Mus musculus: one gene and its partners. The protein of the gene in region 1 binds, or shares a complex with, the protein of each later gene. Links are inferred from orthologs where the notes say so. Each region holds a gene or a part of one and is shown on either strand. Other genes may lie near its edges. The genes, in order: Cnot10, Cnot8 and Cnot7.

Region 1 (3,654 bases):
CATTCAGAGTTAGAACACATACTGCTCTTGCAGAAGTAAGACCTAGCAGCCATGTGGGATCTGGCAGGCAGGCTTGTACCCTACACACATGCATGCAGGGGAAACAGTCATACACAAAATAAAATAATTCAACCTAAAAGTGGGCAGGGGAAAGAAAATAAATGAAAATATTGGGCCAGTGAGATTGCTCAGAGGGTAGACGCACTTGTGACACAAGCCTGTCCTCTGGGCTCCATATGTGACTGACACTGGTCCACCCTGTCGTCGTGTGCTGAAGAGATGCTCAGTGGTTCAAAGCACTGGCTACTGCTCTCCCAGAGGACCTGGGTCTGGTTCCCAGCATCTGGGTGGTAGCTCACAAGCATCTGTAACTCTAGTTCTGGGGCATCCAATGCCCTCTTCTTGCCTTTGAGGTGTACATGCATACCTGCAGGCACACACACGGGAAATAAAAACAAAATCCTTTTTAAAGGCTTATTCTAACCACCTACTGCAATGCAGCCGCTTGGGTTTTGTTGCTTGCTATTTTTTAAAACAGAATTGTTATTCCATGAGACTAGACCCTTAAATATACCCTGGTTTTGGACAACATAATTAAGACTAATCTCTCTCATTTATAAGATAAATATTTGTATTCTCACTATGTAGCTTTGGGGACTAATTAAAACCTGAAGGTACTATTTTGTCCTTGTTTTTTTTTTTTTTTTTTCAGACAGTTTCTCTGTCGCTCTTGCTGTCCTTGAACTCGCTCTGTAGAGTAGGCTGGCCTGGAACTCAAGGATCTGCTATCTCTCTCTGCCTCCCTCCCAGTGGTGGGATAAGGACGTGTGCCACCAGCCTGACAGAGGTATTATGGCAGTGTAGGAAAATCAAATAAGATGTGTTGGAGCCGGGCATGGTGGCACACATCTGCACCCACAGCTATTCAAAGGCTGGCCTGGAACTCACTGTGTAGCCTCAACTGACCATGACCTTGTGTTAGTTCTCCTGCCTCAGCTTTAGGTGCTGAGCTTATGGGGGTGTGCCACACACCTCGCTGAGTTCTTTGCCTTTTGCTGTTTGTTTCCTTGCTGTTGTTAGAGTGCATTCTGCCCGGATTGTTTCAGGTCCACTCGGCTGTTGAAGAGATGGATGGGTTAGACGATGTTGAGAACAGCATGCTGTATTATAACCAGGCTGTCATTCTCTATCATCTGCGCCAGTACACGGAGGCCATATCTGTCGGCGAGAAGCTCTATCAGTTCATAGAACCTTTCGGTATGTCCTCTCTTTCTTGCAAATTTCTCTATTGCTTTTATCTAGATGACCTAAATCTGAGCTATATGTTAGCATTTAAAGGGGGAGAAAGAATGGGAGAAATACATAACTCAGTAGAGTGCTTGCCCTGTGAGTGTGAGGGCCTGCATTCGGTGCCGAGTCCACATGAGAATAGCTGGGCCTGTGGACATGGCTGTAATCCATGGGGAGGGCACAGGCGGGTGTGTTGAGAATTCTGGCTAGATAGCCTGGCTTTCTTAGAGAGCTCCAGGCTAGTGAGATGCCTGCCTCAGACAACTAGAGTCAGGGACTGGAGAGATGGTAAGAGCACCAGCTGCTCTAGTGCATGAGTTCAATTCCCAGCACCCACACAGCGAGCTGCTCACTCTGACAAGATCTGATGCTTTCTTCTGGCTTCATCAGGCAGCCAGCATGCATGGCGTGCACAGACATACATGCAGATAGAACAACTAAAGTAAACAGTGCCTAAGGAGCAACAGCAGAGATTCCTCGTCTTCCACACACGTACACACATACTCAACTGCACACCTTTGTACACACATAGAAAATGACCAAAAACAACAGAATAAAGCTGTTTCCACAATTCTAAATTTGTTTTTAGTCTAGAGAAGGCCAGTTTTCCTTTAGCACTCTTTCCCACCTGGTGTTTAAAGGTCCCCCACATGCTGTCACATGCCTGTAATCCTAGCCTCCTGGACTCGGGCAGGAGGACCAGATGTTTGGGGTCATCTTCTGATACAGCCTAGGTTTGAGGCCAGCCTGGGCTTCGTGAGACTCTATCAAAAAGGAAGGATGGGACAAAGGGAAGGAAGGGTGAAAATGAACTGTTGGGTAGTGCAAAAACTTCTTGTCTCTTCCTTGCTGTTGAATACTCTCCTCTTAGGGACCTTTCATACCTTAATTTACATGAAAGATTAGGAGGGCTGGACAGTGGCTCAGTGGTTTGGAGTACTTTCTCTTGTAGAGGATCTGAGTTTGGTTCCCAGCCCTACTTGGCAGCCAACAACTGTCTGTAACTATGGTTTCAAGGGATCCAATGCCCTGTTCTGGTCTCAGCATGCATCAAGAATACACATGTATACAGGCAGGAATTTTGGTCATTTTCTATGTGAGTTCATGGGTGAACAGTTGAGTATGTGTGTATATGTGTGTAGAAGACAGGAATCTGTGCACACTTATAACACTCATGCACATAAAATAAGCATTCGTTCGCCTTTAATCCCAGCACTTGAGAGGCAGAGGCAGGCGGATTTCTGAATTCGAGGCCAGCCTGGTCTACAGAGTGAGTTCCAGGGATAGCGTGCTGCTTTCAGTCATGGCTTTAGTGGCATCCTTTGCTTGGGGGAAGACATGCTTCATTTTGCAGGGTGGTGTCCTGTTTGTGGGTAAGCAGAGATGTATGCTCAAGCTTGGACTGTAACTTTTCCTATTTGTGTGTTTGTTTTGCCAGAAGAAAAATTTGCCCAAGCGGTGTGCTTTTTGCTCGTAGACTTGTATATATTAACCCACCAGGCTGAGAAAGCTCTGCATCTTCTTGCCGTCCTAGAAAAAATGATTTCACAGGGTAGCGGTGGCAAAAATGGGAAGAACGAGGTGAGTTCCAGGCACTGGACTTAGAAGTGTGACCAGTGTCTGTTGTATGAGGTAGTATCCTAGCAGCTTATGAGATGGCATTCACAGAAAGTAATATCTGACTTACCCTTGTAAACTGTGTGTAAAATGTTCCATTTATTAATGTTTGCATGTTTCACATTTCTCAACCCAACAGGGTATGTTAGATTCCAGTTGAATGCTCTCAGCTTCACTCCTAAACCTTGTGTTGTCAAATATTTCATTTTCATAATATTTAGTACTGTTAATATTTGGTGAAATAGGCCTTAAGTTCAGTAGGGGTGTGTGTGGTGTGTGTGTGTGTGTGTGTGTGTGTGTGTGTGTCTGTGTGTCTGTGTGTGTGTGTGTCTGTGTGTGTCTGATCTGACAGTAGGAACACTGTATGCAATCCTTGTCCTTTGGGCCCTCTGCTGGGGAGGGGCGGATGGAGTACAGTGAGTTGAACAGTTTGACCTATCAGAAGAGGAGGGGTGGAGCCGAGGGACTTGTAGGCTGGGAAGGGAGCAGTGTCTGCAATGGGCAGTGGCTGGGGCATTTTCCCACTGCAGCCAAGGGGCTCTGCGGTCAGGACGGTGGGAGACTGAGGGCTTCCTCAGGAAGCTGGGCTTCAGTGGTGCTGGCTAGAAAGAGACAGGGTCTGGCTTGGGCTTTAGAGGCGTAGTCTTGAGTGGCACCTGTGATTTTAAATGGGTCCCTGGTTATGCTCATCTATGAGTTTCCTAAGTGTGCCACGTTAGTGTGCCACTCGACTCTCAGTCCCTAGAA
Region 2 (3,654 bases), on another chromosome or scaffold:
AGAAAAGATTCAGGATATGAAAGAACTCGTGTTCTTCTTCCGGCAGGCGAGAGTCTGTTAGCAGCTTTACCATGTAGCCAAAATCATAACCACTAAAGGAGGAATAAAGCAGATGTCTGAAAGCAGCCTCAGTCCAGCCTTAAACCACCACCTCAGGCTGGGGGCTGGGCCTCTCAAAGAGCACTGATGATCTCAGCTTTACATTCAGTGAGGAAATTTACATAAGGAAAGCTACGATGAGAAACACACAAGAACCTGAGAGTTTGTGTGAATTTGATTAATCAAAACTCAAAAGTAAAGCCGTAAGAGCCCAGGAGAAGGGTCACCTAAAGAGAAATTTTGAATCAGAGTTCCAATCCCAGCACCCAGGTCAGACAGCTCACAAATGCCTGTAAGTCTACCTGCAATGGCCCAGCATCCTCTTTTGGCTCCCTAGGTACTCACACACATACCTATACATACCACACACACACATACCCTTTAAAAATAAACACCTTCCAAAAAGTATTTAAAGAATATCTGTATTTGAGGACATTTCAAAGGACAAGCCACACCAGGCTGAAAATAACCGAGCCCACAGCAGCCTCCATCCACCTGGAAGACAGCACTGCACAGCCACTACAGCACTGCAGGTCAAGTGATGCAAAGCCCATGTGCGTGTTCACGTGCTCCCAAACACTACACAGGAACACCAACACCACCTCACTGCTGCTTCCAAAAAGCCAGGAGGACTCAAATCAACAAGAATTTAGTTCCTCCCCAGTGCAGCCTACAGTCAGAAGGGCGAAGCTATGCTGAAGAGACAGGCCACAGTTCCCGTGGACTGACCTGTGAAATGAAAGCCACTTGACGTTGTCACAGAGAACCACTCCCGATGTCATAAGCAGCTCTGCAAAGTGCAGTGTATCGATCCCTTCCTCCTCGTGTTTCTGGAACTGCAGCCCTGAGTTTGCAAGCAGATCTATGGAATCCTGGGAGTACATATCCTCTCTGAAAAACAAGGTGTCACTATGAGCTGGCGGCAGTGAGACCAAAGCAGGAGAGATGTTATGGTTAGCTTATGATTCGGAAACACAGAACTCCTGAAACACTCCAAAAACCAGCAGATTTGTATTTCCTAATTACAGAAAACCTATATTCTCTTGCTTAAAATTGTGTTTTATGTAAATGAATGAGTTAAACAATTGTGAGCCCAGCTCTGGGAATTGAGCTCAGATCTTTTGGAGGGGCAGCCGGTGTCCTAACCATTGAGCCACACATTTTTTTTATGCTGTTTTTCATCTTTTTTAAATATTTATTTATTTATGTATATGGATGTTTGTCTGTATATTTGCACACCAGAAGAGGGCATTCAGGCCCATCACAGACAGAGAGTGCCCACGTGGCTGCTGGGAACTGAACTCAGGAGCTCTGGAAGAACAACCTGGGCTTTTAACCACTGAACTATCATCTATGCGGCCTTTGGTTTTTTTAATTTTTAATCATATTTACACTTCTTTATATTATTTACAGTAGAATTTAACAAAACAAACTTGAGACAGAACTAACCCTGAAGTTTACTTATTACGGATGGTTGCGAGCCACCATGTGGTTGCTGGGATTTGAACTCAGGACCTTTGGAAGAGCAGTCGGCGCTCTTAACCACTGAGCCATCTCTCCAGCCCCTGAAGTTTATTTATAAAACAAACAAAAGGCAGGGCTGGAGATGAGGCTCAGCACTACGAGTTCTTGCTGCCGTGACAGAAGACCCAGGCTTAGCTCCCAACCATCCGTACTACCAGTCCCAGGGATCTGCTAACTGCTGTGGACACCAGGCACATACATGATGGACAGATATACATGCAGGCAAAACATTAATACACAAAATAACAGTTAAGGTCAGGCGTGGTGGCGCATGCCTTTAATCCCAGCACTCAGGAGACAGAGGCAGGAGGATTTCTGAATTCAAGGCCAGCCTGGTCTACAAAGTGAGTTCCAGGACAGCCAGGGCTACACAGAAAAATCCTGTCTCAAAAACAAAAAAACAAAACAAAACAAAAAAAAACAGTTAAAAATCTTGGGCTGGGGGCTGGAGAGCTGGCTCAGCGGTTAAAAGCACCGACTGCTTCCAGAGGTCCTGAGTTCAACTCCCAGCAACCACACGGTGGCTCAAAACCATCTGTACAGGGATTTGATGCCCTCTTCTGGTGTGTCTTAAGACAGCTACAGTGTACTCACATACATACATAAAAGATAAATAAATCTTTTAAAAAAAAGAAAAAAGAGCTGGGCGTGGTCGCACACGCCTTTAATCCCAGCACTTGGGAGGCAGAGGCAGGCAGATTTCTGAGACCGCCTGGTCTCTGGCCAGCCTGGTCTCCAGAGTGAGTTCCAGGACAGCCAGGACTACACCCTGTCTTGAAAAACCAAAAAAAAAAAAAAAAAAAAAAAAGATAGCAAGTTTCAGGACACTCAGAGCAACATAATAGAGAGAAACCATGTCTCCTCCCACCTCAATCCCAAAAACCACATGATTAGTAAAGCTTACAGCAACCAGCCCACTCAAACTCAGCTGTCTAGTAACACTGAGGGTCTCCCAAGACACTCACGTCAGGTTGAACTTGAAGTTGAACTGCCATGTGTTGATTCCAGACGGGTACTCCCCCTTCTCATTGGTGAACGTAAGGCCCAGCTGGATGATTTTAAGAAGATCAACATTGCACCGCAGAAGCTGATACTGGTAATCTATGGAGCTTCGAAATTCACCGATCGGCCGTACAACAACACCTGGGAACTCTGTGTCCTAGGAACAAAAGCCTCTTACCATTAAGCCTCAGCAAACAGTGGTGCTCAGCAACCCATGAGCAAAATTGCTCTTCAGTTTACAGAAGCCCAAGATAAGCTCCCAAGGTCTAGAACACAACAGAACCCAGACAGGTGAATGGGTGACTAGAGGGAGCTGCGCTCAGGTAGGAACGTCTTTTTTCACTTATTCATTTACTTCAAGTGCACTGGTGGCATGTGTGTCTGTAGGAGAGGGTCAAATCCCCTGGAAGTGGAGTTACAGACAGTTGTGAGCTATCATATGGGTGCTGTGAATTGAACCATGGTCCTCAGGAAGAACAAGTGCCCTCGACTGCTGAGCCATCTCTCTAGCCTTCAGATAGGACCTTCCAATATGAGTTAAATACAAATACAGCCAAGTAGATGGGGTGGCTCACAGGGGCTTCGCTCCATCCCATCAGCTTCTTGGTGTGACGTATACTTGAAAGAGAAGCCCGGCTCATGGCCTGCTGTTCAGAGCTCCCACCTTGGTCTAATGTTTTTATAAAGGACAAATGCAGCCTTCCTCTTTCCTGAGTGACTATTTCACTGCCGTGTGTACATAAAACCCTTTTATACCCTTGTAAAGCTCAGACTGGCCTATACTCATTGATCTTGAACTCCTGACCCCACACCCTCACCCCCAGTGTTTGGGATGACAGGATCTTAACCTGCTGGGAGAGCTTGTAAGGCTAGTGCCTCTTATGGACAGAGGAGTGAAAGCAGGGTTTGAATACAGACAGTGGCAAGCTCCAAGCCTGGAGTAAAACAGAGCACCTGCGTGCTCAGGGGCTGGCCTAAGAAGAGTGCCACCTAACCCGCCATTGGGCAGGAAAATAAGCCACACAGTAC
Region 3 (2,871 bases), on another chromosome or scaffold:
TGAATTGTCCACTCACGTAACTAACTTAGTTTCAGTATAGGACCACCTTTTGGATTTTTTTTTTTTTTTTAGTTTTTTTGAGACAGGGTTTCTCTGTTTAGTCTTGGCTGTCCTGGAACTCAGTTTGTAGACCAGGCTGGCCTCGAACTCAGAAATCCACCTGCCTCTGCCTCCTGAGTGCTGGGATTAAAGGCGTGCACCACCACTGCCTAGCTGGATTTTTATTTTAAAATGTCTTATGGCTAGTCAGTGGTGGAATTCTGGCACCAGTTTGTTATCCTTATTTTCCTTTTTATTGTCTTCTTCAAGGACAGTGATGTAGTGAGAGTGTTAAGGTTTACTGTCTATACCATGCTTAGGATTTTGTTAATTTTAGTCAGTTCACCCTTGCACCTAGACTTAAGACAACCTAAGATGGTATAATGTCTCCTCCCCTTCTCGACATTACTTCTCATATTCTGTGAAGTTTGTTATGTTAAAGAAATGAAAATGTCTGCCATGTTTTTTATGCTCATAAGTTCTTATTAAAATGAGGTAAATGTTAACGAAAAATATTTTTGCTTTTTAGAACGTGTCCTTTAGGCCTGTAGTTAAGGGCATCAGTCAGTCTTATTTATTAAATATGCAGCATAGCTTCTCAAAGGAACATCACAGAAAGAGTTAGTAGCAATTACAGTGTTGAGATGTAAACTACAGGTTGTATCATTTGCTTAAGATGATTTTTTTTTCTTTCAAAATTTTCTTTTTAGATGTTCTTTGAAGATCACATTGATGATGCCAAATACTGTGGTCACTTATATGGCCTTGGTTCTGGCTCATCCTATGTACAGAACGGCACAGGGAATGCATATGAAGAGGAAGCCAGCAAGCAGTCATGACAGGAAATAGTCTTCTTATTTTTATTTTATACGAGTTACACACATGCTTGTATATAGGTTTTATCATCCCTTAAATAATAGGCAATACCCCCCCCCTTTTGTAGACCTTCTCTGCTTTCAGTAATAAGTATGGCCTTTCTTAGCTATGATCTTAATAAATTAAAGTACATTCAGGTTAAATCTGGCCTTAATTTAATACACTTCTTATCAAGCTTGTGTGACAAAGCTACATTACTGAATAATTTGATAAACTTTGCCTACTTGAGCTTGGTTTTGTTTTTCCCTTTTCCTAAATTAACTAGCATTGAGTGTAATTTATTTCCCTCTTCCATGCCTCTCCTTCTATTCTGCAGTACTTATAGGTATTTAAGATTGTGGACCATCAAGTTTGCACTTTAGAGAGTGATTTCAATCCTCTATTTTATCAGAAATTGTGATTTTTCTTGCTCTTAGCTAGAAAAATAACCATCTACCACCTTTTTACAGTATTTGCTTGTTTTTGACATTCAGAGTACAGCACGTGCATTGTGCAAATTGTTCAACAGGAATAACAGAAAAAGACAAGGAACTACTGAAGAGCCTAGTAACTACTGTTTCTGTGTGTAGTGTTTAGCCTTCCAAGCACATCTCATGTCTGTTGGTTTCTAATTGGCATGCATAGGCTGCTATGTGACTGAAGAATTTCAAACCAGCTTTACACCCTTCAGGAAGAAGCCCTGTGATTGGCTATCTCCTCTCTGCCAGAAGGCTGGCCATTAAGATGTTGGAGCTCCAGTTTTATGACAGCACCGCCTCCCTTGATCGGCTTCCTTTTACTCCATCACTTTTACCCTTACTGTTTTATTTTATAAACATATTTATGATGTTCTTGATTTGTTAACTACACAAATCAATTTCATTAAAGTCCAAAGATAACAAGTCTTAAGGTACATTTTATATCAATAAAAATACAAAATAAATGTGATTTCATAAATGCTACAAAAATAAATAATGGAGAGATTTGGTGCAAAACAACAAAATGCAAAAAATATATATAAATACACACATATATAGCTAATAAAATTACCTGAGGAGTGTAATGCTTGTTTATTTTTTTGTGTATATCTTTGCAATCTATTTTATATATATTGACAAGAGACTGTGAAATATTTAGCCATGCAGAATATGTGACCAGACCAGAGCATGTGTTGGAAGATTTTGGTGAACATTAACTCTACCCTGAAGTGATGGACTACAAGTTGTAATGTGTGTTATCTACACTTCAATCGATATTAGCAAGTCTCCAACTGTTAGCAACATAGTTCGTTTCCCTTGTACATTCTGTAAACATGATATGAAAATGCTGTACCTGGGCGGTCCTTTTTAAACTAAACATTATTTGCAAAACAGAGGGTATTATTTGTTTTTAAAGCTTTTGTAAATAAAGGCTTCAAAAATGTTTTCCTATATGGTTGTGACTGATGGCTTTGGTTTTGGGGCTCTTATTTAGAAGTGTTGAATACTTGAGCCATTTTCTTTGGGTAACAGGACTTCACTAGGTGGTGTGTGTGTTCTCAAAAGATTGGTTTAGTTTTTATTAGTGTTCAAAGTTGCAGTAAGGCCAGCTGATCCATAAATCAGTTCTCCAGCCCAGAGCCTGGGCCATAAAGCCTGGCACTCTGACCCCTTTGTATCAACTGTATTCCTTTCCTTGCCCTTTGTTAATTACCTGACTGAAAGAAATTAGAAGTCTCTGGGTGTAGAAGCTCACATCCGTAATCCTGCTGTTGTGAGTGACTGTCCTGAGTCAATTTCCACTGTCTTGGTGTGTTCAGCTGCACTCCCTTGCAAAAGGATTTTTCCATGCTGGTCTTTATCTGATTACATCCCGTTTAGGCAGGATGGAGAAGGCCAAAATAGCCTCACTTGAGTATCCAGACACTATACTGTTGCGCAGCTTTTCCTTAGTTGTACACGTCCTGGGAGAGGCTAGAGGTTAGAGACCTGGAAGATT

What was found.
Region 2: Cnot10 (region 1) and Cnot8 share a complex: the UniProt entries of both Homo sapiens proteins name them as parts of the CCR4-NOT complex. The link is inferred for Mus musculus from reciprocal best matches to the Homo sapiens genes CNOT10 and CNOT8.
Region 3: Cnot10 (region 1) and Cnot7 share a complex: the UniProt entries of both Homo sapiens proteins name them as parts of the CCR4-NOT complex. The link is inferred for Mus musculus from reciprocal best matches to the Homo sapiens genes CNOT10 and CNOT7.

The regions. Positions count from the first base shown.
Region 1 is NC_000075.6:114,626,610-114,630,263, reverse strand, and holds part of Cnot10 (CCR4-NOT transcription complex subunit 10), read left to right. Parts: intron 1-1,106; coding exon 1,107-1,257; intron 1,258-2,728; coding exon 2,729-2,871; intron 2,872-3,654. UniProt on the Homo sapiens protein: Component of the CCR4-NOT complex which is one of the major cellular mRNA deadenylases and is linked to various cellular processes including bulk mRNA degradation, miRNA-mediated repression, translational repression during translational initiation and general transcription regulation.
Region 2 is NC_000077.6:58,110,388-58,114,041, reverse strand, and holds part of Cnot8 (CCR4-NOT transcription complex subunit 8), read right to left. Parts: intron 2,783-3,654; coding exon 2,589-2,782; intron 991-2,588; coding exon 829-990; intron 93-828; coding exon 1-92. UniProt on the Homo sapiens protein: Has 3'-5' poly(A) exoribonuclease activity for synthetic poly(A) RNA substrate. Its function seems to be partially redundant with that of CNOT7.
Region 3 is NC_000074.6:40,491,994-40,494,864, reverse strand, and holds the end of Cnot7 (CCR4-NOT transcription complex subunit 7), read left to right. Parts: intron 1-749; coding exon 750-878; 3' UTR 879-2,327; downstream 2,328-2,871. UniProt on the Homo sapiens protein: Has 3'-5' poly(A) exoribonuclease activity for synthetic poly(A) RNA substrate. Its function seems to be partially redundant with that of CNOT8.